Danio rerio: one gene and its partners. The main gene of each other region encodes a partner of the protein of the gene in region 3 in a complex. Links are inferred from orthologs where the notes say so. Each region holds a gene or a part of one and is shown on either strand. Other genes may lie near its edges. The genes, in order: tmem17, mks1, tmem67, cep290, ahi1, tmem107l and cc2d2a.

Region 1 (5,012 bases), on a different chromosome or scaffold from region 3:
CAGTGCCAGGGCTGAATTTTTGTCCCAGTCCGCCCCTGACAACACAAGTGAAATTTTATTTTAGAGTCTTTATTTCTACTATTCTCCAGCTCTTCCTGGAAGGTGCTCGCTGTGTTCCTCCATTGCTGCATCTTTTTCTGTGCCTGTAGCATCTGGACTCCATCACTTCACAGCATCTGAGGGAGAAGAATATGATTTTGTGTGATCCTAACAACTAAAAAATTACAACAGACCAAGACTTTTTGTCATGTTTCATGAATGCACAGTAATGTGCAGAGCTGGGCCGTGCACAGGGGGGTGGCCTGGTGGCTAGAGCCACTCCCCCTCTGCCCCCATTGGCAGAGGTGCCCCTTTCAGCCTGTAAATAAATTTAATTTTTTCTGTTGTTGGAACACTTTGTTGACAAAAAAAATTCTCAAAAAACAATGCCTTTACAAAAAAGAAGACAGAGACAGAGAGAGAAAGAACGAAGGAAGGCTGATAAAGGTAGTTTAACACTGAAAACATTCATAGCTCCAGCAGGTAAATCATCATATGGAACATTTAGCTGTGTTTGTCTAATTAAGTAGGCCTATATTTTCCATAATAATCACTATAATCACAGGCTACAGCAAATCATTTTATTAAAACCATGTCAACAGTAGGCCTATAAATAGTAAAAAAAAATGCAATATTAATATTCTAAAAGTTAATATAAATTCATGGTGTATAATATTAAATTAAACGTGTAATATTTATTTTTCCATTGAAGATGAGGCAGAAGCAGGTTCAAAAAATGAGGGAGACCACCGAGCATGAGCTAAATCACACAGGTACAGGTAAGACTGTTAATCTGGAAGGGATATGCTAGAGTGTCATACAAAGATAGATGGACATTTAAATAATTTAAATATTGTAAATGCTTTGTTATTCATTCTAAGATGAAACTCCCTCCGAGTCAACTCAGCAAAGTAAAGGTGATGGAGACAGAAAATGTTCAGATTGTCCATCCAACAGTAAATAGTTTCTGTTATTATCCGCAATGTGTAAATGTGAATCACATACATGTAAGATGAGCTTATCAAGATCTTTCAGGACAAAAAAAGTTTTGTTTTTAAAGGTACAGGTAAATATAAAAATGTAAAATGGTAAATAGTTCTGAAATTATTACAGAGTGTACTGTTTTTTCTTTTAATTGTACTTTTACAACAACTAGAAAATTTGTATAAGCAAGAACCCACCCACTTAGTGCCCCTGCCCCTCAAAATGTCTGTGCACGGCCCTGAATTGGTGGTTCATTCTGCTGTGGTGACCCCGGATTAATAAAGGGACTAAACCGAAAAGAAAATGAATGAATGAACCTTGGGTTGCAAAAAAAATATATCTTTTCATATTGTTTCTCAAAAGTGAAGAACCCAAAAAGAACCTTCTTTAAAATAAAGCTCTAAATTCTAATAGAAACCCTGGATCTCAAGACTGAATAAACTGAACATTGAGTAGTGGGCAGGGTTTTATTTTAGTTCTCATACTTGACGTCATCAGAGAAGGACCCCCACACCAGAGCAGAATCAAATAGGAGGTTTTTGATTAAAGATTACCTACAATAAAAATGATCAGCGACTTTACTTAATTGTTCACCTTAACACTACCAATGTCCTCTAGCAAAATAAACATTGTACATTTTTTTACTTCATGCTGACTTAAAGTGATAGTTTAAGCCAGGAATATTAATATTATTCTTTATACACATTGCAGGATAAAACTCAGCATAATGTATCTTATTTCGCCATCATACAAAGCAAGCAAACCTGTTAAGTGCAGCTGAGCAGTGTGTGTGAGTGAGAGTGAAAAACATCCCCCGGTGGTCACAGCTGGACCATCACAACCGCTCAAGAAGATCCGCCTTCGTTGCTACCATAGACTGGTTGCTACGGACACACGTCTGCTTCTCCCAACATGGACCTGCCTGAACCCATCAGGCGACGGCTTGGAGATTTCTCCAGAACCGTGTTTGTGGACCAAAGCCGTACACAACCCTCTTTCGAAGAGCACGCAAATTTTCTAGACCAAAGTAAGTGTGTTTGAGCTTCCATTTGATCTGCTACGTGAACGTTAGCTGTAGGGCTAATTCATCTGGTTAGCCGAGTTGTACGATTTCATGTAGCTTTTGCTAGTAAACATATTTTTTTCTGACGTCATATGCAGATATAATAATGCTTTATGGTAGCATTAATCTTAAAAGGAAGTTGATAACATTTGGCGTTATTCCTGTCTGGGACCTACGAAACTACGTTGCGTTACCAAAAAGCATAATAAATGGTTCGTTTGAATCGGATCTTCTTAATGGACCTTTTCATAAAACGTGATTAGTCAAAAAAACTACTTAAAGTAAGGCAACTAGATGATTTAATAGGTTGACGGAATCGAAATATTTTGGATATCTTTAACCAAGTTTAGTTAGGTAAAACAGCCAAGTGAACAAAGTTACTCATTTAAAACGAACTGTTCAAAAGAACCGATTCGCCAAATGTTATTTTACTCCATCCTATACAGGCTCCGAACACTGATTTATGTATTATTATTATACATATTATATATCTGTGGTTCCGAATCAGGTTATTTAGGATGCCCAAGATTAGTAAAAATGAACTTTATTCAAAGCTAATTTGTCATTTTAATTTTATGCACTATTATTTCTCAGATAAGGATGTAGTATCGAGTCTCCCTCTTCAGATGTCACTCTACTTTAACATGTGGTTCTTTCCTTTCTGGTGGATCAGTGAGGTTGTGATGCTTGACCTAAAGGTGATTCTCGTCTTTGTCATTTTTAACATTTCAATATGATCTTATGGCTGTTTAATCATATTACTGTTGTTAGATATTACAGCTAATAATCATTGTGCTTTTTCTTCTAGTACTCAGCCCTTGCAGATTATTACAAGTTCATCCTGATCACAATTCTCATTGTAATGACCCTGATTGAGGCTATTAGGCTGTATTTGGGCAATGCTGGAAATCTGCAAGAAAAGGTCAATCTTAATTTAATGTAATATCATGTAATATCCTATAATTGGTCCCATTATGCATCTGTTGTTTTTCAGTAGGTTCCAGAATTGGCTGGATTTTGGCTTCTGACTTTTCTACTTCAGTTTCCTCTGATTTTGTTCCAGCTCTTCAATGAGGCTGTTCTTGTTCAACCACTAGAGAGAGGAGTTCATATAATACTGGCCTTATTTATCTTTGCTGAGGTATCTATCTGTCTATCTTACAACTATTTTAAGTGACTATGTAGAATTTTTAACTCCTCATTGTTCAGAATTTGAAGGGATTTCAGTTGTGTACCAACAGAACAGTGTTTTATAAAACACTCAAGACACTTTGACAAAAAGCCATTATTTTGTGCAAAACACAGTGATTAGAGTTTAAGAACAGCAATGATATTGGTTGTAACATAAAGATTACAACTTTAATTTCCAAAGCCTACAACTGCTTTTGTCTCGATTGATTTTACTACATCTTCAGTACAGATTTTCACTCAGGAGGGAAGCACGAAAGCCATATTTTTATGCAGATTTGAATGAAACACTCCACTTCAGGAGGAACAGGCTCAACTTATAAGAGTTAAACAGAAAAGATTTGCCATTTTTTAATCCTTTTAGATGATCACTGGGTCTGGTGAAAACCCTTTTAGCTTCGCATAAATCATTAAATTAGATTAGACCATTAGCATCTTGCTCCAAAAATACAAATAATAACTGGAGATAATTTTTCTATTTAGAGCTTGACACTTTTCTAGTCACATTGTATACTAATGCTGTTCACACCAGACGTGGAAGGAGCGTCAAGCGCAAGTGATATGTTGATATGGCTAAGAACTATACTCTCATTTTGGTGTAATAATCAAGGGACTAGCTGCCATACCAAGGCTGCAGCAGGGACAATGTTAATATGTAGCACTGTTATCTAGATGGGAAATATTTTTTAGAATAAGAGTATAGTTCCTAGTACATAATGTAACTATAGAAGAGTGTGCGTGTATGTATGTATGTATGTATATATATATATATATATATATATATATATATATATATATATATATATATATGTGTATATATATATATATATATATATATATATATATATATATATATATATATATATATTTATATATAAATATAAATTATCTTGTGTAACTTATATAACTTTAAGTTTTTGTGCAAGAGGCTAATGGTCTAATCTGATTCAATGATTTATGCTAAGCTAAGCTAAAAGTGCTCACACCAGACCTGAAGATCAACAGAATTGAATAAAAAATGCTAAAACTCAACTGTTTAAACTTATTTTTTTTTAAATGTTGAGCGTTTCATTTAAGGCTATGATCTTAAACTTTTTTGATGAGGATGATCTGTTTAAATTTAATTTTGAATACATTGCCTGGTCTTTCTTTTTTGTCACTTCTCCGATTTCTTCTTTTAGCATTTAGACGCAGTACTTACAACCTGGGGTGCTTTTCCGAAAACAATTGTTAGCAAACCAAGGTCACAAGTTCCATCGTTACAAAGATAGTTTGTTGATTTGGCGGTTCCCAAATCCGTCGTTCCATTGAACATTCGCAAACTGCATCACAAACTTGTAAGCTTACAACTAAACCTCTAGGGCTGTAGTTAGATGCATTGCTCCTGGTTGTTTTCTATTCCCGTTCACCCTCCTATGCCTTATACATTTAGAATGTTCAAACATTTAAACTTGGAATGATTAAAAAAACATTAAAGTTATCTCTCTTATGTGTAATTTGCATTAAAAGTATTTTACAGTTCTTTGATCTTCATATTGACAATTGAGTTGTCTTCGTGGTGCACTTTGAATTTTTTTTTTGACATTTTGAATACAGCCATGGCTCCTGACGAAAGCTACATGTGACTATTACTATAAAGCAGTTTTTATGTTGCGTCTCCAAATATTGTGAAAACAAAAATATAGGCAGAGCGTAACGTTATTGGTTTTAATTTATAGTTGGTTATTTATTAAGAATA
Region 2 (3,412 bases), on a different chromosome or scaffold from region 3:
TGTTGACGGATTTGTTGACAGTTTGGGCTACTTATCAGAATTATGGGAATTGTCGGCCCGACAAATTTTAATTGTACGAAAATTTTTTAGTCTTATGCCTTACCCAGAATATACAAATGCATATAAATACAATTAGTTCAATAGGGTATATGCCGAGCTAGTGCAGTTCCCATGCTGATACACTTCCGGTGACCTGTTATTGTGAACTTTTTACCATTTTACACGGTTCCTTATGCAGCATTAATGTTGCAATGTCATTAAAATACATTCAGTTAAATAAACTTTAGCATTTATTTAGTTGCTCAAGCGTAAAACAAGACAAAAAGCTGTTCACTCGCACGCGCCCGTCAGAATCTGCAGGCTAACGCAGAAGCTCCATTGAATATACTGGGGTAAAATAAATGCTCATATTATAAATATATGGCGGGGGAAAATGTAATTTAATGCAATGCTTCTTGTACAATCTGAGACCCACTTTAAATCGGATATCACTCAGCTAGTGGAGATCGCTGATTTTAAAGAAAACAGACCTTAAACGCACCGGATTTTGCATTGGCATTGAATTCGCCGGAAGCGCTTAACCCAGGTTACTGGCAAATAAAAGTCCTACTAGCATGCTTCGGCATATACCCCATTACTTTAATCCTTAATATTGGACTGTGAAGACTTTCCACCAGCACAACAAAAATGTTTCTTTAGACAATCACATACTGCACCTTTAAATATTTTATTTTATGTAATAAAAATGGTTTAAAATATGAAAAGCATCATTGGTTAAGACAAGGTAAACCAGTGTATATCAGGTTAAACTATTTATAAAAACAGTTCTTAAAAACACTGGGTATATAAGGTGTCATGAAAATGTGAAAAAAAAAATAATATAAACATTATATATAATCTCTTAAATATGTAATGCATAATCTAATCTAATATATATATATATATATATATATATATATATATATATATATATATATATATATATATATATATATATATATATTTATATATATATATATATATATATAAATACCGTCATACCGCAATAGTAATTTTTTTCAATATTACCGTAGGCGAATGACTCAATTAAACTTTATTTCTGAGAAATGTTTGTTATATATATATATATATATATATATATATATATATATATATATATATATATATATATATATATATATATATATATATATATATGAATAAAATATATTTTCCTACTTATGTAAAGCTAAAACATTTTATATTCAGAAAACACATGGCTGATTAATTACGAATACATTTATGTGTACACCATTATAGCATTTTTTATTTTAATTTCATTTTAACACCTTTTTTAGTTCTTTGAAAACCTAAATCTATTAGTAGTTATAAAAATGTATTATTACTATTTAACGATATAATATAATATAATATAATATAATATAATATAATATAATAATAACATCACTTCTTTTTTTTCAAAGTTCAGCTCTCTTTCAGACTAAACTGTTTCAGGAATTTCAATACAAAAGGAAAAAAAAAGTTTTTGTTTTGTTTTTGTTACATTAATATTGGATTATTATCCCTTTACAGCCATATCCTGTACAGTTTTGTTGTCTGAGTGGCAGTCGTTTTGAACTAAAATGGTCCTATGGTCCACTCCACTGGACATGCTGTAAAATTAAAAATTAAAACAAAATGTAAACACTCTAAATTGGAGAATTTTTTTAACCCAAAGGATCTAGGAAACCACAGAAAAAAAAAGAAAAAGAAAAAAAATTCGGGTCTCAGAAGGATATAATATAATATAATATAATATAATATAATATAATATAATATAATATAATATAATATAATATTACAACAGTACAGAATAGCAACATGTTTCTAAAAATCTGCTGTTTGTTTGTGATTTTTCAGAAGCGTTTCAGAGGGCCCATAAGCGCATGCAGGAGGCCAGAGAGACTTTACCCAGAGACCTCATCAACACGTCTGCACTATTAAACTCAGAGTCTTCTGCTTAGGAACATCAAAACTGATAAAACATATGTAATAATGCTGGTCATGGTATTTGTTTATATGTATAATACTTTTTTGTTGATTTTTTTTTAGTTAAGCTCTGAGAAAAGAAACTAGAAATTAGTAAAGCTCCCATGTTAGTGAAGACCTAATAAAGACTTAATAAACTTAATAAAGACATGGCTATTGAATTATCCTAAACTGCTTAGTTAAAAGTGTTTTCTAAGTACATGTACCATGTTGATAAGTGAAGTTTATTCATAAACTAATTTCGAGAGGAGCACGTGATTATGATTGAACACGGCTGGTTCTGCATTAGCATGCTTGATCTACCAATCAGGCCATTCCTAACCACTATAAAGAGCCAGTGTTTTTCCACTACAGTCATCTTCGATTTGAAGAATACCCCCTTCCACCCCAACCTTTTCACCTTTCCCTCCATAGGGCAGCACGGTGGCCCAGTGACTAGCACTGTCGCCTCACAGCAAGAACATCACCGGTTCTAGTTCCTTAACAGGCCGTTGGTCGTTTCTGTGTGTAGTTTGCATGTTCTTTCCGTGCTTGCGTGGGTTTTCCCCGGGTTTTCTCCAGCTTCCTTCCACATTCCAAAAACATGCACAACAAGTAAATTGATAAATCTAAATTTTCAATACAGGTAATCTAATAATGCAGCATATCTTTTAATAGCATTCAATTTTTAGTCTTTAGCTATTATCAAGGGGGAGTTGTCGAGATCTACCTGAGCTCGAGGCTCCCCTCTCTTCCTCCAAACGGGAGGGAGCCCAGGGCTCAAGAACCTTCGAGCTCAGGGCTCTCTCCCGGGACAGCATGCCAAACTTGCTTATAATCAATCATCAGCTAAGTGTGAACTCTTGAATGATTTATTATGGGGTTTTTTTTTAACTGTAATGTGCACTTATGCTGTTACGTTCATTCATTCAGAAAGGCTCCCAAAGCATGCGTCTGTGACTGAAATGCGACCTCCGGTGGACTGTAGCAGACTCTGAAATGAGATGCGTATTCAGAGTTTCACATGATACAGTTATTAATTAGCAAATAATATAAATATTAGGAAAGTAAACATTAGGTGAGCAGGTTATATTGTAACCCTGTGTCCTGACAACATGCTACATGACATGATTCACAGTGATAAACAATTTGGCTGTTTGCACCAGACAAAACACGACAAAAATTAAATACAGCCATTAAGAAGCACAGCATATGCATAAAATGGTAAGGTTTATACCCTAATTAATACATATTAAACCTTTTTACCATTATTAAATGTACATGCTGAATCACTGATGTGTTTTATTTCGAGTCCCAGTTCTGAAATTCAAATTCAATCTGCTGCTGCTTTCAGTAAATGACAATACATGTCATGTAAAACTGCATTCAAACTTAAATTATTAGC
Region 3 (4,469 bases):
TCCTAATAAACAATTATATTTAAAATTTAAATAGTTTTTTTCTTGTGTTTACATTAATTTTACATTTTAATTACCAAAATTACAAGTATCAGTCTTTTAAATGTGATTAATCGCAATTAATTTAACAAAAAAGTGCGATTTAGTAAATGTTTTTTAAACGATTGACAGCACTAGTTTTAACATTTAAATTAGCCACAGAATTTAAAAGCATATGTGTTACTCTCAACAATACACTGAGAGAAAGTGAAAGTAAAACTAATCTGAATGCAGTACTTTAAATGTCAACTAGGTGGCGGGCTAAACCACAGGCTAGACGCCACTGCACAACAGTGAAAGAGGTTAAAAATTATATGTTTTGGTGGGCTGAATATCTTTATATTTTTGACGTCAGTTGCGGGCCGGAGAGAGGAGGAGGGCGGGCCGTAAATGGCCCACAGGCCGGCAGTTTAAGAACATTGGTTTAAATCCATATTAAAGGGAACCTATACAATTGTTAGTTTAATTAACAGTACATATTGTTTTTTTTTTCAGGTTGTAGGCTTCTCAAATTTGGCTCTAAGAGATCCTTCGTCTAACCTGAATCGATCTGCTGAGGAATACACGCCTCCATACAGCCTCATACTCCGCTATGGTGTAGCTACTGCTATGTGGCTCTGCATTGGCTTAATACAGGTACATACGAAAATAGACAAGAGGCATACTAATTGTGTCACCAATTAGATTCCACATGCTCTTCTTTGTGTGATTGTGCTTCAGATGATATTCTTCACAGTGTTCCATGAACGGTTTGTTGAAGACAAGATTCGTCAGTTTGTGGATTTGTGCTCAATCAGTAATGTAAGTATCCGGCTGGAAATCTTGATGATAAATGTAGTTATAAACCACATCTTACATCATGGTTTAATGTTGTTTGTGTTTCTTTATTTATATGTGTGTGTCATTTAGATCTCAGTTCTGCTGCTGTCTCATCGATGTTTTGGCTACTACATTCATGGGCGCTCTGTTCATGGTCATGCTGATACTAACATGGATGAGATGAACACTAACCTTAAGAGGGAGGCGGTAAGATTTTGAGGCTTACTGTTTATAGTAGTTTTGAAATAAATAAGTTATTTATTGTATTTTTTATGTGTTTTAGGAGAATCTGTGTGGCCAAAGGGGACTTTTGCCAAACTCTGATACTCAGACGTTTCAGATTTCGATAACTAACCGTCTGCGAGCACAGTATGATCGGATAATCGAGCCAATCAGCAGGGTATAAACACAAGCAAATACTATGTCAAATATTTCCCCCAAAATTAGACATGCCTGTTGAAATTGCCTTTAAAAAAAGAAAAGATGATCAGTCACATTGGTGCTTAAAGAAACACTTTCTTTCTTTCTAAAGAAACAGTTTCACTTTCTTTCTTTCTTTCTTTCTTTCTTTCTTTCTTCTTTTTATAAAATACTCATTTTACATGAGCCTAGTGTTTAATGTTAAACAGTCGAATTTAACCATTTTTGAATTAGGGATGCTCATAATAACTGTTTCACTGTTAACCAAAAAAGATGCATTTTTAACCTGTTAATAGTATGAGTCGAATGATAAATAAAAAAAAAAAAAAATATATATATATATATATATATATATATATATATATATATATATATATATATATATATATATATATATATATATATATATATATATTTTTTTTTTTTTATATATATATATATATATATATATATATATATATATATATATATATATTTTTTTTTTTTTTTTTTTAATTGGCTACATAAATGTGCAACACATATTTGTTAACTGGTTGGATGGTAACGTGTGCAACCACACATGCCTACAGACATATTGCCAAAGAAGCAAAATGAAAGAAGAATATTGCTGCTCACAGTTTGACAGACGAGTTGATGCCAAACCAGCTGTTGGAATAAATTGCAGATCGTCTGTGTGTTCCCTCAGTAAGCAGGAAGGCAACAACAACTGAGATGTGAATCAAACAGTTAATTGCTCTCTTCTAAAGAAGACTGGGGCAGTCCCAGCCTTTATACTTAGTGTTAGATGGGCTTTGAGTCCGTGCAAGCATTCAGTTCAGTTCCTCTTGGTCTTTTTCCAACCACCCACGCTCTTGCAAAACAATTTCATTCAGTGCACAAAATGTCAACGTGCCCTATAACATAAGAAACAGTTAAAAAACAACAGGATATAGGAACAGTGAGTATGTGCATATCTCTTTTAATCCCCTCTTCCAGGCTCTGGATCATACTACATTCTCATAAACCCTATTTGTCCAATAGTCACCCTCAGTTCCATCCATAGCTAAGCGTTCATACCCTTTACCTAAGCCATTAACCATTCTATACATTCATTCCATGTACACAACTGTGTTAACCGCATCAGCCAAACTCTCCCACTCTATTTTTTTCTTTTGTTATTAATTCCGGAGGACAAACTTGCAAATAACACCGTTTTTCTCCAGTCTACCTCCGAAAGCAGCACCTCCAAATCACATTCTGTTCAAAGTTTCTCTTTTTGCTTGCTTTTGCCATTGCTTTTTCGTTGGGTTTTGCCAGAGTATATTAATTAACATATTCATACGGGGGAGGAGGCAGGGAGGGGTTTTGCGCTCATGCGCTCAGTTTCACGTTCATTCAGATGTACTAAGAGAATATGCGTGTGATTCGGCGTACGCAGTGTTTCATACATCTAAATTTTTTACTGCGTACGCACATTTACAGCTTTGTGCATACGCAATCTTTTAGTATGATTTCAACGCAAGCCTTTGTACATGAGGGCCCAGGTCTTGGAGGAGGACTTTTAGCTTTGGTTTGCTTATCTAAACTCAGCTTAGCTTAGCATGAATCATTGAATTGGATTAGACTATTAGACTTTTCTGTGGTTACATTTTGTAGGAAGACATGGCTAGGAACTATTATCTCATTCTGACATAACAATCAATTGTGTTGCTGCCTGCTGATACCCATACCACACAAACAGACTCAAAGCACTCTTGTGTAAGTGTGACTAAAAATCTTTCTACTTTTACAGAGAAGAGGACCTTCAAGGTTGGTGGATGCTACAGCCAATCCATGCGAGCAAAGCACAAAAGCATACCATACTATGAACCGATTCCTGGGCTCTGTCATTGATCATGTGAGAACTGCCTTTAACTGATGCTTGTCATTTCCCTTATTAATTTAATACTAATTAAATTTATTAATAATAATATTTGTTTTTTTGTGTGTTTTGCTGTGCACATTCTAAATGCTGCTTCCTCAGGCACATCGTGAGATGGACTACATTGTGAAAGATAAGCTACTGTTTGAGAGAGTCATCGGTATGGAGTTCATAGAGCCGCTCGATAAAAGCATCTTTTATAATGGTAAAACGCTCATATAATCAATACACTTACAAAAAATAAACCCCACTCACACTGTTCCGAGTGAATACCCTTGTGTTTATCTCTCTTCAGATGATTCTCACTCATTCGCTGATGTCCTTTTTTATGGTAATGAGGGTGTGCTGTTGATCTTCGACACGCTCTTTTTCTGTGTGGTTGATCTGGGCAAGCAGAACTTCATTCTCGCAGCTGTGTTAACGTACCTTCAGCAAATGGTTAGTGTGTGTTAATGCACTGGTTTCATTCGATGGTCTTGAGGTGATGATTAACATTTTATTTACATTTGTTCTCTTTCAGATATTTAGATTAATTCGAAATGGATTGGGCCGCAGGAACCTGGCCAACAAAACGCTAGTTGACAAACGATTTCTCATCTAGATCTTCATCTTATTGCACCATGACAGCCTTCAGGTTTCTTCTACCGAATTTTGTATTGTTTTTATATTAATAATAATTTTTTTGTAATTTCTAAGACAGGATGTTGTTGAATCTAATGTATAAATGTTTTTATATTTAAGTATTTTTGATCAATTAAACAAGTTCTTGGTTTTTACACATGGCAGGCCTCATAAGTAAAACTGATGCTACATAAAAGCATAATTGCTTGAGGTTTTTGTTCAAGTTTTTCAGAGCACATTTCATCCTTCATATATGTTTCTTATGTTGGTTGTATATAAGTGATTCTGCTAAAAGTCTTTTTTGTAAATTGTCTTTAAAAATAATTTCCAGGCTCCAGCGAGAATTGAACTCGCGACCCCTGGTTTACAAGACCAGTGCTCTAACCACTGAGCTATGGAGCCGGACTTGTTCTAAGTCTGTGCTTAATACAATATGAATAGTACATAAGGAAACTCTTAGAAGGGCGTGTCCAACATTTCTGTGTTGAGCAGGAATGACAAACAAATGATTCAGACGTCACAAATGACATCCTTCTATCTGCATAACTTCATCTGATTCTAGCATGATATAATTATGCTCTACAGTTTATGATATTGAGATCATCATGGTTGTTTTCCTATATAATGTATGCAAAATTATTTCACGAGAAATTTTGGTATTATTCTTTCGACC
Region 4 (4,469 bases), on a different chromosome or scaffold from region 3:
AAAAGTTGTGACAGGAGCAGTTTAGGGATGATAATCTGGTAAATTGGTTAAATATTGATGTGATTTGAAACAGGTAGTGTCAACAGGTGATTGTAATTATGATCTGGTACAAAAACAGCATCCAAGAAAGGTCTAGTCCTTTAGGAGCAAAGATGGGCGGGGGATCGCCACTTTGAAACAAACACATAAGAAAATTATTAAAATGTTTAAAAACAAGGTCCTCAAAGAAAGATAGGAAGACATTTGAAAATTTCACCTTCAGTGCAAAACATAATTATAAGATTCAGGTAGTCTGAAGGAATTTCAGTGTGTAAAGGACAAGGTTGCAAGCCTAAGCTGAACTATCATAATCTCCGATCCCAGCACTGTATCAAGAATCGTCATTCATCTATAAGTAATATCACCACATGGGCTCAGGACTACTTTGACAAACATTTTCCACAATATGTTACATCCACAAATGCCAGTTAAAACTTTACTGTGCCAAAAGGAAGCCCTATGTTAACAGTGTCCAGAAGTGCTGTCAACTTCTCTGGGCTCTGAGACATCTGGGATGGACCATCACACAATGAAAGTGTGTGCTGTGGTTAGATGAATCAGTATTTCAAGTATTTTTAGGGGAAATTAAATACCTTGGCACTTGGTACTTGCACTTCTGTGATGGCACCATTAATGCTGAAAAGTACATAGAGGTTTTGTAGACAATATGTTGCCGTCTTTTCCAGGGACCCCCATGCACATTTCAACAAGCCAATGCAAAACCACATTCTGAACACATTACAAGTCCTGGCTGCGGAGAAAGAGGATACAGGTACTTGACTGGCCTGCATGCAGTCCGAACCTGTCTCCAATAGAGAATATGTGGTGCATTTTGAGGGCACAAATTGCAACAATAAAGATCATGTGCTGTTGCCCACTGTAAGGCTTGCAGGAAGAATGGGACAAGATTACACCTGAAACACTTTATCAATTTAGTGTCTTCAGTCTGCAAACGTCTTTTAAGTGTTGTGAAAAGGAATGGCACCATACAAAGTGGTAAATGCTTTACTGTTCTAACTTTTTTTAAATGTGTTGCGAAAACCAAACTTGGAATGTGTTTATTTAAAAAAAATAACAATGAGGAACAGATCAAATAATGTGTGTTGTATTGTCTGAAATAAAATTAGTCAATGTAAATTAGACATTTCTTTTTTATTTGGGTTTTCCATAATGTCCCAATCTTTTCTGATTTGAGGTTGTACCATTTCTGTAAATGAATTATTTATAATTAATTATTGTTGTTTTTGATGTCATTCACAACCAGTAGAAAATTACAACAACCCAATCAATTCCAGAGAGACAAAATCAAGTCCCGCCCTACTTTTCTTTTTGAGTTTAAGATTTTTGTGCCCAGTTGAGTTTTGAGTTTGTGTCCACTCAAGTATTCGTCACAGTAGTGTAGAAAAAAAATTTGCAAATTTCATGCCTATTTGGCAAACCTAAGGATGAAATTATCTAACAAAGTCTTAGGTCCTACAGCTTTGTGAGGAGGGTAATTGTTTATATTTTGTTTTATTGATTGCAGAAAATGAGCTGAAAGCCAAAGTCTTAAAGCTGGAAAGTGAGCTGGAGGTAAGGGAGATGTTTGGCTAAGTGAATACAGTTCTAATAATTTGATTGCCAGTACAGTATTTGTTGTTTGTGAGCATGTGCTGTGTCTGTTTACAAGCACCGACTTAAGAGGATTAAAGGCTTAATTCCACGTTTATTGCCATCTATTACTAATCTAATTGTTCTACACATAACATTTCTATTGTTATGTTCATTATTGTGAAAAGAAGTGGAATTTCATGCAACCCACCAGCATCAGAGATCTGTACAGATGGAGAGTTTTGGGTTTTGGGTCTTGGGTCTTGAGCTTTATTCAGATCTGCCTCACTTCCTGTCCAGATGGCCCAGCGTGTGATGGGAGGGGGAGACAAACATTTTCTGCGGGATGAAATTCGCCAACTGGAGAGTCACCTGGAGCGCAAGGAGAAAGAGGTGACCCAACTGGAGAAGGAAATGGGCAAGGAAAGGAAATCCAATGAAGAGGTAGGCAGCACTTTTAATGAAAGGTGTACAAACTAACTTCAAAAACCCTGCAGTCTGTTTTTATCATATTATTATTATTATCATTATTATCATAATTTTAAAACATATATATACAGTTGTTCTTGAAAGTGTACTGTACATGCCCCCTTGCAGAATGCTGACAAATATTAAAATGTATACATTACCAGTTTAACTTAACTGGAACTTACATGGTCATATTTACAAAAAATTACAAAACAAATCTCAAACCAAAATGGAGAATTTAAATATAAAATAAAAGAATATATATATAACTCTTATTAAAATTGTACATTTATCAATGTATTATAATAATTTAAAGTAAAACTGATGATAAAAGGCAAATGGAGTGAGATTAATTTCAATACGTTTTTCATAATAGAGAAAACCATTTGTTTTTGAATGCAAGAAGTCAGATACTGCTACTATAAATATCGTTGTATTATATTATTATCATTGTATGTAGTTAAAACGAGCAAGTTATAATTCAACCAAAATATCATTGAATAAATGTTTTGTTTATAAAAACGTATGCATTTTGGGAGAGAAAATACGGAATAATAATTCTGCAGCTGCATGTGCATGACTGACAAACTAAAACATTGATTGCATGTTTTCCGTCTCCCAGCTGGCTCTTCGTGCAGAAGAAGCAGAAGAGAAGAACAGGAAACTAAAAAGAGAGGTATGTCCAATCCTTTTCGGAGCGTGCATAATGCTTTTTGGGTACATCTTAAATCTTTCTCTGTATGTTATCTGTTCCAGCATCTCTCATATATCACCATTATTCACTTCACTCCTCAGCTTTATTTCTTGTCTGTCCATTTCATTTTCTACGCATGCTTGTTATCATTTTCTGTTACTCGTTTCTTTCCTCGCTGTCATTTGTTGTCAATGCCCATCAAGATAAAGCAGCTTACGAGGAAGGTAAGACCCCAGATTAGCCAGAATTAGAATAGACAGGCTATTTATTTGAAACATGTTTATGACAAATGGAGCGGCACCACTTGCCTCGTATAATATGGCCACCACAAAAAAATGTCTTTGACTGTGATTCTGTTGAAGGCTTTATTTATGAATGGATGATGAATGTTCAGAGGTATGTGATTATTTTCTGGGAAATGAGCTGATAAAATAGTTCCTGGAACTTCTTGACCACACTACTGTTCCATATCACTGATTTTTAATTTTTGTCAGTGGTCCTTCTAGCCTGCAACAGCAGAAAAATCAAAACTCATAAAAACATTGACTGAGCAAGTAAATATATAATAAATATGGAGATAAAAATGTTAATTATTTTTATTTCATTATTCCCAGAGATCTTATACATAAATTGGTTCCACAACTGATATTTTTCAGTACTGTGGTAGGTCTTGAAACAATTAAACTCAAAACGTTATTATTTTTAGAGACTTGTTGCTGCTGTGAGACTCTCTTAAACTTTCTCTCTAATAGAGATTCATTAGTCTTTTATGGCATAGTCAATGGCATAAAAATTAATTTTGTGTAGCACTAACTTCAAACACACTTTTGCTGGAAAACATTTTTTGATATATATAACTGACATGAGGGCCCAATTTACTAACAGCTTTCATCAGTGCTAGTCTTTTTGGCGTTAAATACATTAAAATGTGTTTACTAAATAAGCATTTAAAGAAGAATAGCGCTAAAATATATGGCCATGGCTATTTTTGTACCTGACTTTGCTTAATATGCATTTGTTGGGTTTCCCAGTCAGACACACATTTTATGAGAGGGGATTTAAATGAATCATACAATGTGATTTTGATTGTTTATTGCCTTAAAATCATGTCTTAAATGTTGCACTTGAATTAGCTGCAGTTGTTATCTGAAGACATGCTATTTTTTCTTTACTTCAAGAAAATATGTATTAATGACTTTGGAAAAAAACTAGGGTGAGTCATGTAATACCATGTGTACCATACTCCTTTCAGTACCTCAATAGCTGCATTTTCATTGTCACTACCAATTATTGGCCCTACAATGGAAACGCAATGTGATTTCGTCCTCACCGATCAAGCTTCTGGGTGATTGCCCTGGCCCACACTGGCTCGACAGTGAAATAGTGAAAAAACTTTTGCTAGAGAGTGAAGGAACTTTAAGATCACCTTGTAGGCCAATTGGCTGCTCGATGAAATCCTTAAAGGGTTTTCCATAGGATTTCAATGATTGCAAATAATGAGCTCTGTGTTCAAACACAGTTTATTACGCATGCATTTTGTCCAATCAAAATAATCTTCACAAGATAATTTATCATTTTTGGATCCTAATGCAAATGCGAGACCAGAAAAGCTAGCCTTAAGGCTGTAAATGAACTACACCACGTCACCACCAATCAACAAGTTAATCTCTCATGAAGG
Region 5 (4,469 bases), on a different chromosome or scaffold from region 3:
ATAGTTAGCACTAACAGTTACAACCAAACTATAACCTCGTGTTGGATTTTGTGACCGGAATAACACACACGGCTTTCTGACACTACCTGCCGAGTGCATCTAAGTTTCCGGGAAATGCTGAGTTTTTTTTTCTCTCATTCGCCGTGCAGTATCAAACATTGCATGAAAAATACACGCTTAGAGCTGTTCCTCGAATCAAATATCTCGTTTGTCGGGAGGGACATTAATGAATTCCCTGAATGAAAGAGCCAAACTGCAGTTAAAGTCCACCATTTAATAATTTGGCAAATAATTCGACTACAGATGTCCATGTAAACACAGTCACATTGTCTGCTGTGGGTGTGTGTTTTGACTCTGAAATTCAGCGTGCCCAAATAGACACTCCCACACCAAGCCGCTTTTCTTCCTCCGACACTCCCCCCTAAACAGAGCTGGACACGCCCACTTTTCTGACTTTTTCCAAAGTAGAGGTGTGAAAACACACTGCTGAAACGAGGGGGTTTCATGGCCCTTTAAAGAAAACCCCTGCATATCGTAGTATACTGTTTAATGGAGACCAGCTGGCGAGTGCAGCCTGAATGCATCCCTCTTCTAGCTTCCTCCTTAGAGCATTCGCCTACCATGCAGGAACCGCTGGTTTGATCCCCGCTTGGAATAAGACTAGTTGAAATATGAGAAGTGTAAATGCTTTTGAATACCTGGGATTTTACTACAGTCATCGGTGGTGTAATGTAAAATACCTTATGTGTAAAAAACTACAGTAATTGAGTAATTTGTTTATATTACTGTTATTGTATTACTACATGAATGAGTTGGTCAGTTGTGAACATTTGACATTATTACAAAACAGTGCTTTCCTACACTTTAACCAGCAGAGGTCCTCATCCAGCTCTGATTTAGAAAGCTTCGTGTAACAAACCTTTTTCCGATACATTTGAGTCGAGCGCTTCACTGGTTCAGAAAGCTTCATTTCTCCATCATTAGTTTCAGACCAGCCCATCTGGCACCAACAACCATGCCACGTTCAAAGTCACTTAAATCACCTTTCCTCCCCATTCTAATGCTCAGTTTGAACTGCAGCCGATCAGCTTGATCATGTCTACATGCCTAAATGCATTGAGTTGCTACTATGTGATTGGCTGATTAGAAATTTGCGTTAACGAGCAGTTGGACCGGTGTCAACTAATCATTACAGTTAACAATTGCTCTGAACATACCATATTTACAATAGTTGCACTTCAATTGGCACACTATGGACTTATACACTCAACCATGTAGTGTAGAAATGGGTTTAGTGTCGTTCTAAATAGACACTAATGTTTTTACTAGACAGAAATACAAACCATTTCCCAGACAACGTTTAACAGCTGCCAAATAGTGAAACAAATGATCAAACTACCAAATAGTACCAGTCATGAGTATAACAGCATTCACCATTGGGAATGTAATCACTTACATAGGAGAATTTTGCTTGCACAATCCAAAATAAATAATGAAATCCAACCTTAGTGCCTAATAGCTCCTCCCCTTCTGCAATGTGACCGTTGAGTGCTTGAAGTATTCAACATTTCACACTTCTGTTTAACGGTTGAATAAGTCTTTTATCCAGGTATTTAAAGTGCACTTATTCTTTTAGTGCACTATTTATACCGGTGGTTTTCAACTGGTTTGGCCATGGGACCCACATTTTTACATGGTCATCAAATCTCGACCCAAAATTTTAGGAACTAAAATATAATTTTGGGAATTATAATTAATTTGTATTTATTTGTTAACATATACAAGTAGTGACAGATAAATGATAAGAAAATCCCCAAGATTAACAAATAAACACTATTTTATTATTGTAATTTAACAATATAAAAAATTTAAATTACAGAAAATATTACACAGTAAAAACGACAAATGTTTGGTTTCTAAAAGTGCTCTTGTGAGAGCTCCTCACTACACATGGCACACTGAGCCTTTTTTGTCGTCCATATATGTAAATCCATACTTGACATGTTCGGGGTCGTACTTGCGCTTCGATATATTTGTTGCTATAATTAAATGAAATTTCACATGTCAAACGGTACGGTTGTTCCCACAACAATTGTTTTTTTTTACCACACACTCTGCGACCCACTAAAAATGTTCCCGCGACTTTTGGGTGTGACCCACCAGTTGAGAAACACTGATTTATACTACAAAATAGCTTAGAATTGTGCATAAGTATGCAATTTGTAATGCACCTAATGTTTTTGTTGTGTTGGTCTGTACTTTTAGTATATGAGATTCCATCTGGGAAAGTTCTGTCATCTTTTAATGGCCATCTGAGTGTGGTTTATGATCTCTGCTGGTCCAGAGATGATAAAGGCCTGTTAACTGCATCCTCTGATGGAACAGTGAGGTAAAAACATTTGACAGTTTTAAAAGATCATAATACCACCTCATTATAATATGTACCTCATAATTACATATCAATGTTTTTCCCTTTCAGAGTGTGGAATGTTGAACGTCTGCAGACTCTTGCGCATAAAACTCTTCCGCACCCTTCATTCGTGTACTGTGCCAAGTTCCACCCTCAAGCCCAGAGTCTGGTGGCGACGGGGGGTTACGATGGCGTGCTGCGAGTCTGGAACGTAGATGTACAAGATGTGAATGGTCAACTTTTGCAAGAGTTTGACGGACACAAGACTTTCATCAACACTCTGTGTTTTGACCCTGAAGGTACAGAGGAAATTGGTGGTTTAATAACTGAATGGATGTTAAAGCTGTGATATGAGACTATAGTGATGTGTTGGTCTTTACACAGGGAGCAGAATGTTTTCTGCTGATAATTCCGGACTCATCATTGTGTGGGGAACGAAAGTTATGCCTGGGTCTCGCCGTGGAGCAACCAGTCAGTGGAGCATTGAGAGGGTAACAGTTTTCAATTAATGCATGGAAGTTAAATATTCATTTAAAAGATGAACATTTCCTGACTATTTACTCTCACTCAACTGGTTCAAATGTAAACGTTTATGAGTTTCTATCTTCTGTTGAACACAAAACTAAATATTTTAAAGAATGTTGGAAACCATTGACATTCATACACTGCAAAAATGCTTTTCTTACTTAGATTTTTTGTCTTATTTCTGGTCCAAATATCTAAAAACTCTTTAATCAAGCATATTTTTCTAGACAAGTAAAACATACTGTCCTATTTTAAGATATAATATGCCAAAATTTAAATAATCTGCCAATAAAGTAAGCAAAATAATCTTATGTCAAAAGGAAAAACTAGATTATTTTGCTTGTTTTAAGGAAAAACTCATTTAATATTGGCATATTATTTCTGAAAACAAGACAATATGTTTTGCTTGCCTTGAAAATTCTTCTTGATATAAGAACTTTTAGATATTTGGACTAGAAATAAGACAAAAAATCTAAGAAAAGCATTTTTTGCAGTGTAGTAGAAACAAAAATACTAGAGGTTGATGGCTGTTTTTCTCTCTCATCATAACAGTGTTTAACAGACAGAAGAAACTCAAAGTAGAGATCTGCGCGGGACTAAATTTTGAATCCCGCTCCCGCCCGCATCCGCCAGGTTTTAGCCCGAACCCGACCGCTCCCGCTCCCGCTCCCGCTTATATTAAGCACTTGTTGTCTCGCTGCCCGCCCCGCCCCGTTTTCTATCCGCTGCGCCCGATGCCGCTAAAGAGCGGGGGGAAAACAAAACCGAAAATCACCCAGTTATACAGTCCAGACAGCCTATAACAAGCTGTCTGTATAAACACACACACGCACAGCACCAAGCACACACACAGAAACAAAGCTTTCTCTCTCTCATTCGCGCGCGCGCCCACTAACACACACACATAAGCACCAAGCACACACGCACGCACGCACGCACGCACGCACGCACGCACGCACGCACGCACGCACACACACACACCTCTCATTCGCGCGTGTGCATACATATACACACACACACACACACACACACACACACACACACACACACACACACAGCAACAAACAAGCTAAACACAGCATCGCGCTATTTCATTTACACACATACATACGCGTGCTCACTCGGGAGTCGGGAGCGAATATTGCTAGACAGCCCGCTCCAGTCCCAAATTAAACCCATTACCGACCGCTCCCGTGATATATTCTGAAATTTATACCCGCGCCGTAGAAATCTGGTCGGGTCCTGCGGCGCCCGCAGGACAGCCGCGGGAATGCAGAGCTCTAACTCAAAGCTCAGGTGGAGGATTAGTAAATGATGTCTTATGTGAACTGTCCCTTTAAAAAAAATCAACTGAGGGTTGAAATACACTATATTAATATATTTTAAAACGCTGCGCACCAAGCAATTTTGTGTTCAATAGACGTCTAATAGACATCTAGCTTGGATGTTTTGGCTAAAACAAGGCTAAATTTGGGCTGTCAGTGAAAATAAATAATAAATGTTCAAGAATAGGCCAAAATGAGATCAAATAGAC
Region 6 (5,223 bases), on a different chromosome or scaffold from region 3:
AGAAAGTCTTATTTGTTTTATTTTGGCTAGAATAAAAGCAGTTTTTAATTTTTTAAAACCCAATTTTGGGACAAAATTATTAGCCCCTTTAAGCTAATTTTTTTTTCGATAGTTTACAGAACAAACCATCATTATACAATGACTTGCCTAATTACCTTACCCTGCCTATTTCACTTTATTAACCTAGTTAAGCCTTTAAATGTTACTTTAAACTGTACAGAAGTGTCTTGAAAAATATCAAGTAAAATATTATTTATTCTCATCATGACAAAGATAATATAAATCAGTTATTAGAAATAGGTTTCTAAAACTATTGTATAGAAATGTGCTAAAACTATTTATATATATATATATATATATATATATATATATATATATATATATATATATATATATATATATATATATATATATATATATATATATATATATATATATATATAAATATATATATATATATTAAACAATTCTTTTCTTCATGGTTTTGTATCTAAGGTGTGCCAACCTTGTTTGTTGGGTTTCAGATTTATTAAAAATATATCACACCCTGCAAATAAAATGGCAAATGTTGTCACCACAATGTAAAAAAAAAAGTCTTCCTAAAACTGTCTATTCTCAATTTCTTAACTCTAAGGTTAATATTTTACTGCCTTCCAGAACAGCAAATGCCCTTGATAGCAAACCACTGAGTTAGTATTTATTTATTATTTACTAGACCAACGACGTCTGGCTGTAGGCTACAGTAAAAACTAATGATTCATTTATTTGTTGATTTGTGAATGCTGAAAACCTGCAACCATTGACATCCATATAGGAAAAACAAATGCTATGGAAGTTACAGGTTTCCAACTTTCTTTAAAGTATTGCCTTTATCGCTTAACAGAAGAAAGAAACTCACAAAGATTTACAACCACTTGAATAAACAGCAAACACGTTTTTATATTTGGGTGAGCTATCCTTTTAACTTATAGGGCTCTTATTACACACGTTTTATGCACTTACTATAATACCAATAAATTATGCATAATCACATGCAAAAACCCATAACCATAGTAAGTACTCCATATCGTTAATTAATGCCACTCAGTACTTTATGCTATAGATACACTGTAAAAATGAGACCGTAAAACAAAAAACAACTTAGTTTGTTTAAATGCATTTCATTTCGAGATTAGCACTGTCGCTTCACAGCAAGAAGGTTGCTGGTTCGAGTCCCGGCTGACATTTCTGCAGATGCTTTTTTCCCTGTGTTTGCTTGGGTTTCCTCCGGGTACTCCGGTTTCCCCCACAGTCCAAGGACATGTGCTATAGGTGAATTGAATAAACTAAATTGGCCATAGTATATGAGTTTGAATGAGTGTGTATGGATTTTCCCAGTGCTGGGTTGCAGCTGGAAGGGCATCCGCTGTGTAAAACATATGCTGGATAAGTTGGCAGTTCATTCCGCTGTGTCGACCACTGATAAATAAAGAGACTAAGCTGAAGGAAAATGAATGACTGAATAAAAGGCTTGTTTAAGACACCTCGAACACCTTGATAGTGCTCCCTATTGACCACAATAATGAAGTCTTTGAAATAAATTTTTTCCAATTGTCTTACTACTTGTCTGCGCTGCCATGTTCCAGTTCACCATTTTCAAGTTATTTCACCTTTAGTACCTGCTCTCAGCCGAAGGAAAATGAATGAATGAACATTTTGAGACATTGTAAAACCAAGTTGAGGACCAGTCAGAAAGCGACTCCTTCCAGCAGGTGACAGCATTGAGCTACTTGTTGGTCTGTTTTGACCATAACCCATTCGCCAAATAGAAGAAGAGTGTTGTCGTAGCAACCCGAAGCTTATATCGAGCGATAACTGTCCTCAAGCTTGATAAACTTATACGCATAGTAGCCTTATATACAGTGCTATATCTACTTTACTGCTCACCATTTGAAAAATCAGGTTTTAACAACTAACGCAAAGCTGGTACGTATACCATTTTGATATACAACCTCACGTTTTGTGAAGATGAACACGTTAAACCTTTAACTGTTAGTCATCCACTTGCACAGTTCAATCTAAGTTATTATGTCTTTCTTCTCTGTCTAGTGTTCAATGTCGGTGGTCAGCAGTCTGGTGCCTGCCCGTTTCCTCACTCTCATCGCGCACCTTGTAATAGTGATAATCATTTTCTGGTCTCGGGTAAGAAGTGTTCTTGTGTGTGTAATTGTTATTTTTATATCACACAACATCACTGCAGCCAGCTGTGTGTTTAAATGTGGAATGACCTACAGGAGTACAGTGTCCGAGCCTGTCTACCACTCGACTACACTAATGAAGAGTACACAGCAGAGGACACACGGTTGGGAAACACACTTTCTCTGTTCTGTATTGCTTCACAGTGGCTAAATGATAATATAATTATTTCGGTCATGTAGTGAGACTGAATAGTATTTTTTGATTCAACTTTATTGTCATTATACATGTACAAGGCAACAAAATGCAGTTGGGGTATACCTAGGAATGCGATAGCATCAAGTGCATGATATATGCACAGTGCTCAGCAAATGAGTACACCCCTTTGAAACAAAACAGATTTATTAAACAGATATATTTATTCAAATAATATTTTAGTCATCAAACATATTTAGAAATTGAAAGATATTACAATTACATTCAAGCAAAATAATCCAAAAAAGAAAAGAAATTACAACCTGCAAGATTTCAACTAAAATAGTCTTTTTTTTTTTCATTCCGCAATACAGAATGTATTTTAATTGTTAATTAAATGTACCTTTTAATTTATGAAACAAAATACTTTAAAATCTTTTGATGGCTTTTCTTGTTTGACCCATTTACAGCATATTATTGTTTGACTGATAGTAAATTGTACATTATTTATATGTAGATGTGAATAATGTTATGGAGTCAGATATAGTAAGTCCTGTTCATGACGCTGTCCTAACCATTGTTTTTGGAATACAGGCTTGTGGTGGCATTATCCGTGACTCTTGGCCTGTTAGCCATCGAGTTGGTTGGGTTTCTCTGTGGAATCTCTATGTTCAACAACAACCAAGCTCTTCTGTGTATCCTTACCAGTAGCACATCACCACTATAGGTTATATATATACTGTAGGTGTTGATGCATATAAATTGTGTATTATTTTCTTATATTTTCATGGATCGGAGTCAAATCTTCAACTTATGATTAACGCAAACAGCTCCCATATGTGTGTCTAGTACTAGTTTCTTACACATCTCATCCAAAGTCTTCTGTTTTGTTCAGATTTTTGACAGTAAATTACCTGAAGTCATGGGTCGTAAAAAATTATATGGAGCTGTAATGTGGTCAAGACCTACCTGGTATATAAAGTCAATCTAGGGCCATATATACAGTTGAAGTCAGAATTATTAGCCCTTTTGAATTATTACCCCCCTGTTTATTTTTTCCCCAATTTCTTTTAACGGAAAGTAGATTTTTTTCAACACATTTCTGAACATAATAGTTTTAATAACTTATTTCTAATAACTGATTTATTTTAGCTTTGCCATAATGACAGTAAATAATATTTGACTAGATATTTTTTAAGACACTTCTATACAGCTTAAAGTGACATTTAAAGGCTTAACTAGGTTAACTGGTTTAACTAGGCAGGATAGGGTAATTAGGCAAGTTATTGTATAACCATGGTTTGTTCTGTAGACTATCGAAACAATATATAGCTTAAAGAGCAATAATTTTGACCTTAAAATGGTGTTTAAAAAAAAAAATGCTTTTATCCTAACCGAAATAAAACAAATAAGACTTTCTCCAGAAGAAAAAACCCTTTTGGAAAAATAATAATTCAAAGGGGGGCTAATAATTCGGACTTCAACTGTACGTGCAAAATAAAATAAAACTTTGCAAACAACAAATAAAGTATTGAGCAAAAAATAAATAAATGTAAATGAAAAAAATAAAAAATACATTTTGCTAACAAAAATAAAGAACTGCAAAGGGGAAAATTGAGAAATAAAAATGAAATTTAAACAAAAAAGGAACTGCAAATAAACATCAAGCAGTAAAAAAACAAAACAAAAAGATTTGCAATAATCAAAAAAAAACTATATATATTTGCAAAACATTTTTATAGCATTGCTTTTACAAAACCTGCCCGGTCAGTTGCAATTGTCATTTTAATTAGATTTTAGTCAACTGTGAGTTTGTGATGCTGTTTTCACTTTGTACTTCACGTTTCTGCGCCTTTCACTTTGTGGCCCTGATTTGACAAGGGGACTGAGTCAAGGGAACTTAGAGGTTTACCTAAGGCCTGCCGTAAACGCCCAAGTTCCCTTGACTCCACCCCTTTGTCAAATCAAAATGAGCATTGCAGTTGACTGGATGGGTTAGGTCAAGGCTAAAAATGTTTTGCAAATATTTATATATTTTTTTTTTCAGTTCTTTTTTTGTTTGCAAATGTAATTTTTATTTTTCAAAAATAAATTTTCCTTTGAATTTTTAAATTTTTGTTAGCAAAAACTATTTTTATTTCTGAAAAACAAGTTTTTGCTTGGGCGAGGCAGTGGCGCAGTAGGTAGTGCTGTCGCCTCACAGCAAGAAGGTCGCTGGGTCGCTGGTTCGAACCTCGGCTCAGTTGGTGTTTCTGTGTGGAGTTTGCATGTTTTCCCTGCCTTCGCGTGGGTGCTCCGGTTTCCCCCACAGTCCAAAGGCATGTGGTACATGTGAATTGGGTAGACTAAATTGTCCGTAGTGAGTGAGTGTGTGAATGTGTGTGTGGATGTTTCACAAAGATGGGTTGTGGCTGGAAGTTGGCGGTTCATTCTGCTATGGCAACCCTGGATTAAAAAGGGACTAAGCCGACAAGAAAAAGAATGAATAATTAAAGCTTTTGCTTTGCGATTTTTAGAGATTTGCATTTATTTTTTGCTCAATACTTTCAATTTTGTTTTAAAAATGTTCTTTTATTTTGCAAGTATATGGCCCTAGATTGACTCCACAACTTTAGCCATATGGTTTCCTTGAAAAAACAAAAGTTTAACAATTAACATAGCCTCGTATTATAAAACCTAACAAAGATATCTTTACTATTGCTTTCCAAAACTAAAAGCAGTACAAATCAATACAATTAGACAGACATGATAGACAATCCCAGTGGTAGAATGGCAGCAAAAGTCTGGTTTGTTAACAATAAAGGCATCATGATACAGGCACAGAATTTTATTTAACCGTCACTTTTCAGCTAT
Region 7 (4,469 bases), on a different chromosome or scaffold from region 3:
TCTGTAAAGTTTCAGCTCAAAACACCCATCAGATTATTTATTATATCCTCCAGAATCTGCCCGTTTTGGTGTCTGAATACCTTGTAGCTGTAAAACAAAGAGAAAGCTAAAGAAAGTTTTGGCACTTTCAACTGTTCACTTCATCAATGCATTTGGCTGAGGGTGACAGTGGGGCTATAGCAGGGCCGGAGTGGGACTCATTTTCAGCCCTGGAGTTTCAAGCCAAACCGGCCCACCTCAGTTCACGACTGGTTCCAATTCAGTTTCTAATTTCACTATCACGTCTTTTTCAAGAAAACTGCTGCTTTAAAAATTCAAATGTTCAACAACCCTAACAGTATAATATGTCTTTACAATAAAAATGAAGAAAAAAAAATAATTTTACAGGTGAGACTCGAACACGGGTCCGCAGCGTTGAAACGCAACGTGCTTTCCTGGACCACAATGGCGCTATAACTGTGGCAATAAAAAATAAGTAATGACTTGTGACCCTTAAGACACAGCAGTACTTTCTTTTGATAGCTCAATCTTTTTTTCCCCTTTTTAGATTTCTGATCAAGTTATGTCAGAATTATAAATGTAGTGAATCATCTGATTTTCATTGGGCAGGTGTATTATTCATTAATAATAATTATTAGAATTCTTATATTTACTAAGGTGCCGCGGTTTGGGGTCGATAGTTACATTACATCATCATCATTAACGTTAGTTAACCTGCAGGCTGCATTTTGCTCACAGGGCTGCGAGAAAATAAATTAAAAAAGCAGCGCTGCAGCAAAATAATGAATAAAAAGAGTAAAGCTATGGTCAAATAAACAAATAGATGAAAAAAGTCTGACTGCTGAGAGTGCAAGCAGCTAGGGACACCGGCCCTCACGGCCAAAAAACAGACCGGCCCACCGGGAATTCTCTCGGTCCTCCCGATTAGCCAATCCGGGCCTGGGCTATAGTTATTAGGCAGTAAGGCTATGTAGATCTGAGTGTCATCAGCAAAAATATACATTGATAAATTAGAAGAACACTCCAAAAAATGAACTCCTGTTCAACCTTTGCATGCTCCCTCTGAGCCAAATAATGAGAAAGAACCAAATCTCCTACCACAGCTATGCTGATGACACTCAGATCTACCTAGCCTTACTGCCTAATGACTACAGCCCCATTGACACCTTCTGCCAATGCATTGATGAAATTAACAATTGAATGTGCCAAAACTTTCTTCAGTTAAACAAAGAGAAAACTGAAGTCATTGCGTTTGAGAACAGAGATGAGGTTCTCAAGGTAAATGCGTACCTTGGCACTGAAGGTCAAACGACAAAAAATAAGGTCAATAATCTTGGTGTGACTCTGGAGTCAGATCTGAGTTTCAATAGTCATGTCAAAGCAGTCAGTAAATCAGCATACTATCATCTCAAAAACATAGCAAGAATCAGATGCTTTGTTTCTAGTGAAGATTTAGAGAAACTTGTTCATGCTTTTATCAGCAGCAGGTTGGATTACTGTAATGGACTCCTCACTGGTCTTCCTAAAAAGACAGTCAGACAGTTGCAGCTCATCCAGAACGCTGCAGCCAGAATTCTGACCAGAACCAGAAAATCAGAGCACATCACACCTGTCCTCAGGTCTCTACACTGGCTGCCAGTTACATTCAGAATAGATTTTAAAGTATTATTACTGATCTATAAATCACTAAATGGCCTAGGACCTCAATACATTACAGATATGCTGACTGAATACAAACCCAACAGATCACTCAGATCATTAGGATCATATAAACTAGAAGTTCTAAGAGTTCAGTCAAAGCAGAGTGAATCAGCTTTCAGCCACTATGACCATCACTGCTGGAATCAGCTTCCAGAAATGATCAGGTGTGCTCCAACATTAGGCACATTCAAATCAAGACTGAAAACACATCTGTTTAGCTGTGCCTTTACTGAATGAGCATTGTGCTGCGTCCGACAGATTGCACTATCATGTTTTTCTCTTCTTCTTCATTCTTTTATATCACATTTTACCTGTTTTTATGTTTTTTACGCATTTTTATTATTTGTTTTTATTTTTATTTTACTTGTTTCTTTTATTCTTGTTTATGTAAAGCACTTTGAATTGCCACTGTGTATGAATTGTGCTATATAAATAAACTTGCCTTGCCTTGCCTAAATACAAAAAAGGATTATCTTTAAATAAACTGCACTACTCAATTGAAATATAAAGATGGGGTGGGACATAGAGTAGCTTCTACCCTTTAAAAAACCAATAGTGTTTTGCTTTTCTCACAGCTCTGCCAGTGAGAGCGGTTGAGTTCAAGCGCATCAAATGAGAAGAAGGGGGCGGGGCGTGTCAGATACTAGAGAGCATTTGTTTGGTCAGAAGATTTGATAAGAAACTGAAGTATGAGGAGATGTTAATAAATCATTGATCCATTTTGGTGGAAGTGACAAACTGCAAGCTTTGGATGTATCTCTGGATTATATCTTCTAAATGGGAATTTTTGAGCACAATAGCTTATAGATTTGCTTAAGACTAATATACTGACTAACATACTGCTAATATCTAAAAAAACGTTTTTTAAAATTCATGGGTGCTCATGCTAACAATCTATGCAGATGCTTCTCCTCATACTGTGATGCGGCCTGGATCCAGCCAATCAGAAAAGACTATGAGACAACGCATGACGGAGAAGCTACGAGCAGCGAAGGTGAAGGAGCAGAGAAAAGCACAGCATGCATTTCTCAATATATGTCAGATTATTTAACACTTTTCATCTGTGTCGTCCCTTCAGTCTAAAGCCGCGAGTCTTCTAGAGCAGGAAAGCAGCATTGAGCCTGTAAGTCGCCTGCAGAGTCTACAAGATCGAGACACCGTCACTAGATTCGACAGAGACGTAAGAAACACACCAAAACTTATACATACAGTTGAAGTCTGAATTATTAGCCCCCTGTTTATTTTTCCCCTAATTTCTGTTTAACAGAAAGAAGATTTTGTTCAACACTTAATAGTTTTAACAACTTATTTCTAATAACTGACATTTTTCAAGACACTTTATACAGCTTAAAATGACATTTAAAGGCTTAACTAGGTTAATTAGGCAGTTAATACTATTCACTTTCAGATGTTTTCAAAAATAAATGAATAAAAACTGCTTTTATTCTAGCTGAAACAAAACAAATGAGACTTTCTTCAGAAGAAAATAATATTATTGTAAATACTGACAAATTCCTTACTCTGTTAAACATCATTTGAGAAACATCTGAAAGCCATGACTGTCCACTGTCCACTGTCCACTGTCTGTTTTTCTCCTGTTGAGTTGATTAAAACAGCTCCTCCTGTGGAATCAGGGGAATTAGCATGCTGTAAAAAAGCTTGGACTATATGGAAGGGTCTAGAACAGGGATGGGCAAACTTGATCCTCGAGGGCCGGTGTCCCTGCAGAGTTTTGTTCCAACACTAACCTGAACATGCTAATCAGTGTCTTTAAGATCACAAGAAATCTATAAGCAGGTGTGTTTGATTAGTGTTGGAGCTAAACTGTGCAGGACACCGGCCCTCCAGGACCGAATTTGCCCACCCCTGGTCTAAAACTTTAGATTTTCCCATAGACTGTGACAGGACACTGACCTGGACAGACTGTTACATACATTTAGTTTATTATAGTTTTGAAAACTTTTAAAACATTTCTTTTTTTAATTTTAAAGAAAGGTTATGTTAAGGTTATTCCCCAATTTCTGTTTAACAGAGAGCTGATTTTTTTCAACACATTTCTAAACATAATAGTTTTAATAATCTAATAAACTAATTAACTATATCTAATTAACTAATTTCTAATAACTGATTTATTTTATCTTTGCCATGATGACAGTTAATTATATTAGACTAGATATTCTTCAAGACACTTCTATACAGCTTAAAGTGTCATTTAAAAGCTTAACTAAGTTAATTAGGTTAACTAGGCAGGTTAGGGGAATTAGGGAAATCATTGTATATTGATGGTTTGTTCTGTAGATCATCAAGGAAAAATTGTGTTTAAAAAATTAAAAACTGCTTTTATTCTAGCCAAAATAAAACAAATAAGACTTTCTCCAGAAGAAAAAATATTATCTGACATACTGTGAAAATTTCCTGCTCTGTTAAACATCATTTGAAAAATATTCAAAAAAGAAGAAAGAAATTTGAAGGGGCGAATAATTCTGAATTCAACTGTATACATTTCTTCTAATGAATGTGAAGTCAAGTTTCAGTGTTTAAAACGAGGTCTGATCTGCTCACCTCCTCTAGATGGATCCAGATCTGCGGGCTGATGAGGACTCCTCTTTTGCTGCCAGGCTGAAGTTTCGTGATGCGGCCAGACGTGCGGTCAAAGACAAGCAGGTGAGAAGCTCCCTAAAGGTCTTGTTATATATGAAGAGGTATAAATGCTCCATGTTCATGATTGCCTTTAAGGCCGTACTCACACTAGGTACATTTGCCTCGAA

Evidence for each region.
Region 1: tmem67 (region 3) and tmem17 share a complex: the UniProt entries of both Homo sapiens proteins name them as parts of the tectonic-like complex. The link is inferred for Danio rerio from reciprocal best matches to the Homo sapiens genes TMEM67 and TMEM17.
Region 2: tmem67 (region 3) and mks1 share a complex: the UniProt entries of both Homo sapiens proteins name them as parts of the tectonic-like complex. The link is inferred for Danio rerio from reciprocal best matches to the Homo sapiens genes TMEM67 and MKS1.
Region 4: tmem67 (region 3) and cep290 share a complex: the UniProt entries of both Homo sapiens proteins name them as parts of the tectonic-like complex. The link is inferred for Danio rerio from reciprocal best matches to the Homo sapiens genes TMEM67 and CEP290.
Region 5: tmem67 (region 3) and ahi1 share a complex: the UniProt entries of both Homo sapiens proteins name them as parts of the tectonic-like complex. The link is inferred for Danio rerio from reciprocal best matches to the Homo sapiens genes TMEM67 and AHI1.
Region 6: tmem67 (region 3) and tmem107l share a complex: the UniProt entries of both Homo sapiens proteins name them as parts of the tectonic-like complex. The link is inferred for Danio rerio from reciprocal best matches to the Homo sapiens genes TMEM67 and TMEM107.
Region 7: tmem67 (region 3) and cc2d2a share a complex: the UniProt entries of both Homo sapiens proteins name them as parts of the tectonic-like complex. The link is inferred for Danio rerio from reciprocal best matches to the Homo sapiens genes TMEM67 and CC2D2A.

The regions. Positions count from the first base shown.
Region 1 is NC_133200.1:30,967,524-30,972,535, forward strand, and holds the start of tmem17 (transmembrane protein 17B), read left to right. Parts: upstream 1-1,859; 5' UTR 1,860-1,935; coding exon 1,936-2,050; intron 2,051-2,680; coding exon 2,681-2,784; intron 2,785-2,894; coding exon 2,895-3,008; intron 3,009-3,083; coding exon 3,084-3,227; intron 3,228-5,012. Other genes in the region: PKc_like domain-containing protein, read right to left, coding at 80-176, 1,788-1,834. UniProt on the Homo sapiens protein: Transmembrane component of the tectonic-like complex, a complex localized at the transition zone of primary cilia and acting as a barrier that prevents diffusion of transmembrane proteins between the cilia and plasma membranes.
Region 2 is NC_133180.1:61,419,672-61,423,083, reverse strand, and holds the end of mks1 (tectonic-like complex member MKS1), read left to right. Parts: intron 1-1,899; coding exon 1,900-2,003; 3' UTR 2,004-2,199; downstream 2,200-3,412. UniProt on the Homo sapiens protein: Component of the tectonic-like complex, a complex localized at the transition zone of primary cilia and acting as a barrier that prevents diffusion of transmembrane proteins between the cilia and plasma membranes.
Region 3 is NC_133191.1:30,700,602-30,705,070, forward strand, and holds the end of tmem67 (meckelin), read left to right. Parts: intron 1-531; coding exon 532-672; intron 673-756; coding exon 757-837; intron 838-945; coding exon 946-1,062; intron 1,063-1,138; coding exon 1,139-1,255; intron 1,256-3,046; coding exon 3,047-3,151; intron 3,152-3,277; coding exon 3,278-3,380; intron 3,381-3,470; coding exon 3,471-3,613; intron 3,614-3,695; coding exon 3,696-3,776; 3' UTR 3,777-3,953; downstream 3,954-4,469. UniProt on the Homo sapiens protein: Required for ciliary structure and function. Part of the tectonic-like complex which is required for tissue-specific ciliogenesis and may regulate ciliary membrane composition.
Region 4 is NC_133200.1:18,969,340-18,973,808, reverse strand, and holds part of cep290 (centrosomal protein of 290 kDa), read left to right. Parts: intron 1-1,564; coding exon 1,565-1,611; intron 1,612-1,929; coding exon 1,930-2,073; intron 2,074-2,719; coding exon 2,720-2,773; intron 2,774-2,994; coding exon 2,995-3,015; intron 3,016-4,469. UniProt on the Homo sapiens protein: Involved in early and late steps in cilia formation. Its association with CCP110 is required for inhibition of primary cilia formation by CCP110.
Region 5 is NC_133192.1:9,394,067-9,398,535, reverse strand, and holds part of ahi1 (jouberin), read left to right. Parts: intron 1-2,265; coding exon 2,266-2,389; intron 2,390-2,479; coding exon 2,480-2,709; intron 2,710-2,794; coding exon 2,795-2,901; intron 2,902-4,469. UniProt on the Homo sapiens protein: Involved in vesicle trafficking and required for ciliogenesis, formation of primary non-motile cilium, and recruitment of RAB8A to the basal body of primary cilium.
Region 6 is NC_133198.1:31,418,629-31,423,851, reverse strand, and holds the start of tmem107l (transmembrane protein 107 like), read left to right. Parts: upstream 1-1,808; 5' UTR 1,809-1,965; intron 1,966-2,088; 5' UTR 2,089-2,094; coding exon 2,095-2,181; intron 2,182-2,273; coding exon 2,274-2,341; intron 2,342-2,964; coding exon 2,965-3,065; intron 3,066-5,219; coding exon 5,220-5,223. UniProt on the Homo sapiens protein: Plays a role in cilia formation and embryonic patterning. Requires for normal Sonic hedgehog (Shh) signaling in the neural tube and acts in combination with GLI2 and GLI3 to pattern ventral and intermediate neuronal cell types.
Region 7 is NC_133198.1:2,304,884-2,309,352, forward strand, and holds part of cc2d2a (coiled-coil and C2 domain-containing protein 2A), read left to right. Parts: intron 1-2,603; coding exon 2,604-2,695; intron 2,696-2,779; coding exon 2,780-2,881; intron 2,882-4,272; coding exon 4,273-4,365; intron 4,366-4,469. UniProt on the Homo sapiens protein: Component of the tectonic-like complex, a complex localized at the transition zone of primary cilia and acting as a barrier that prevents diffusion of transmembrane proteins between the cilia and plasma membranes.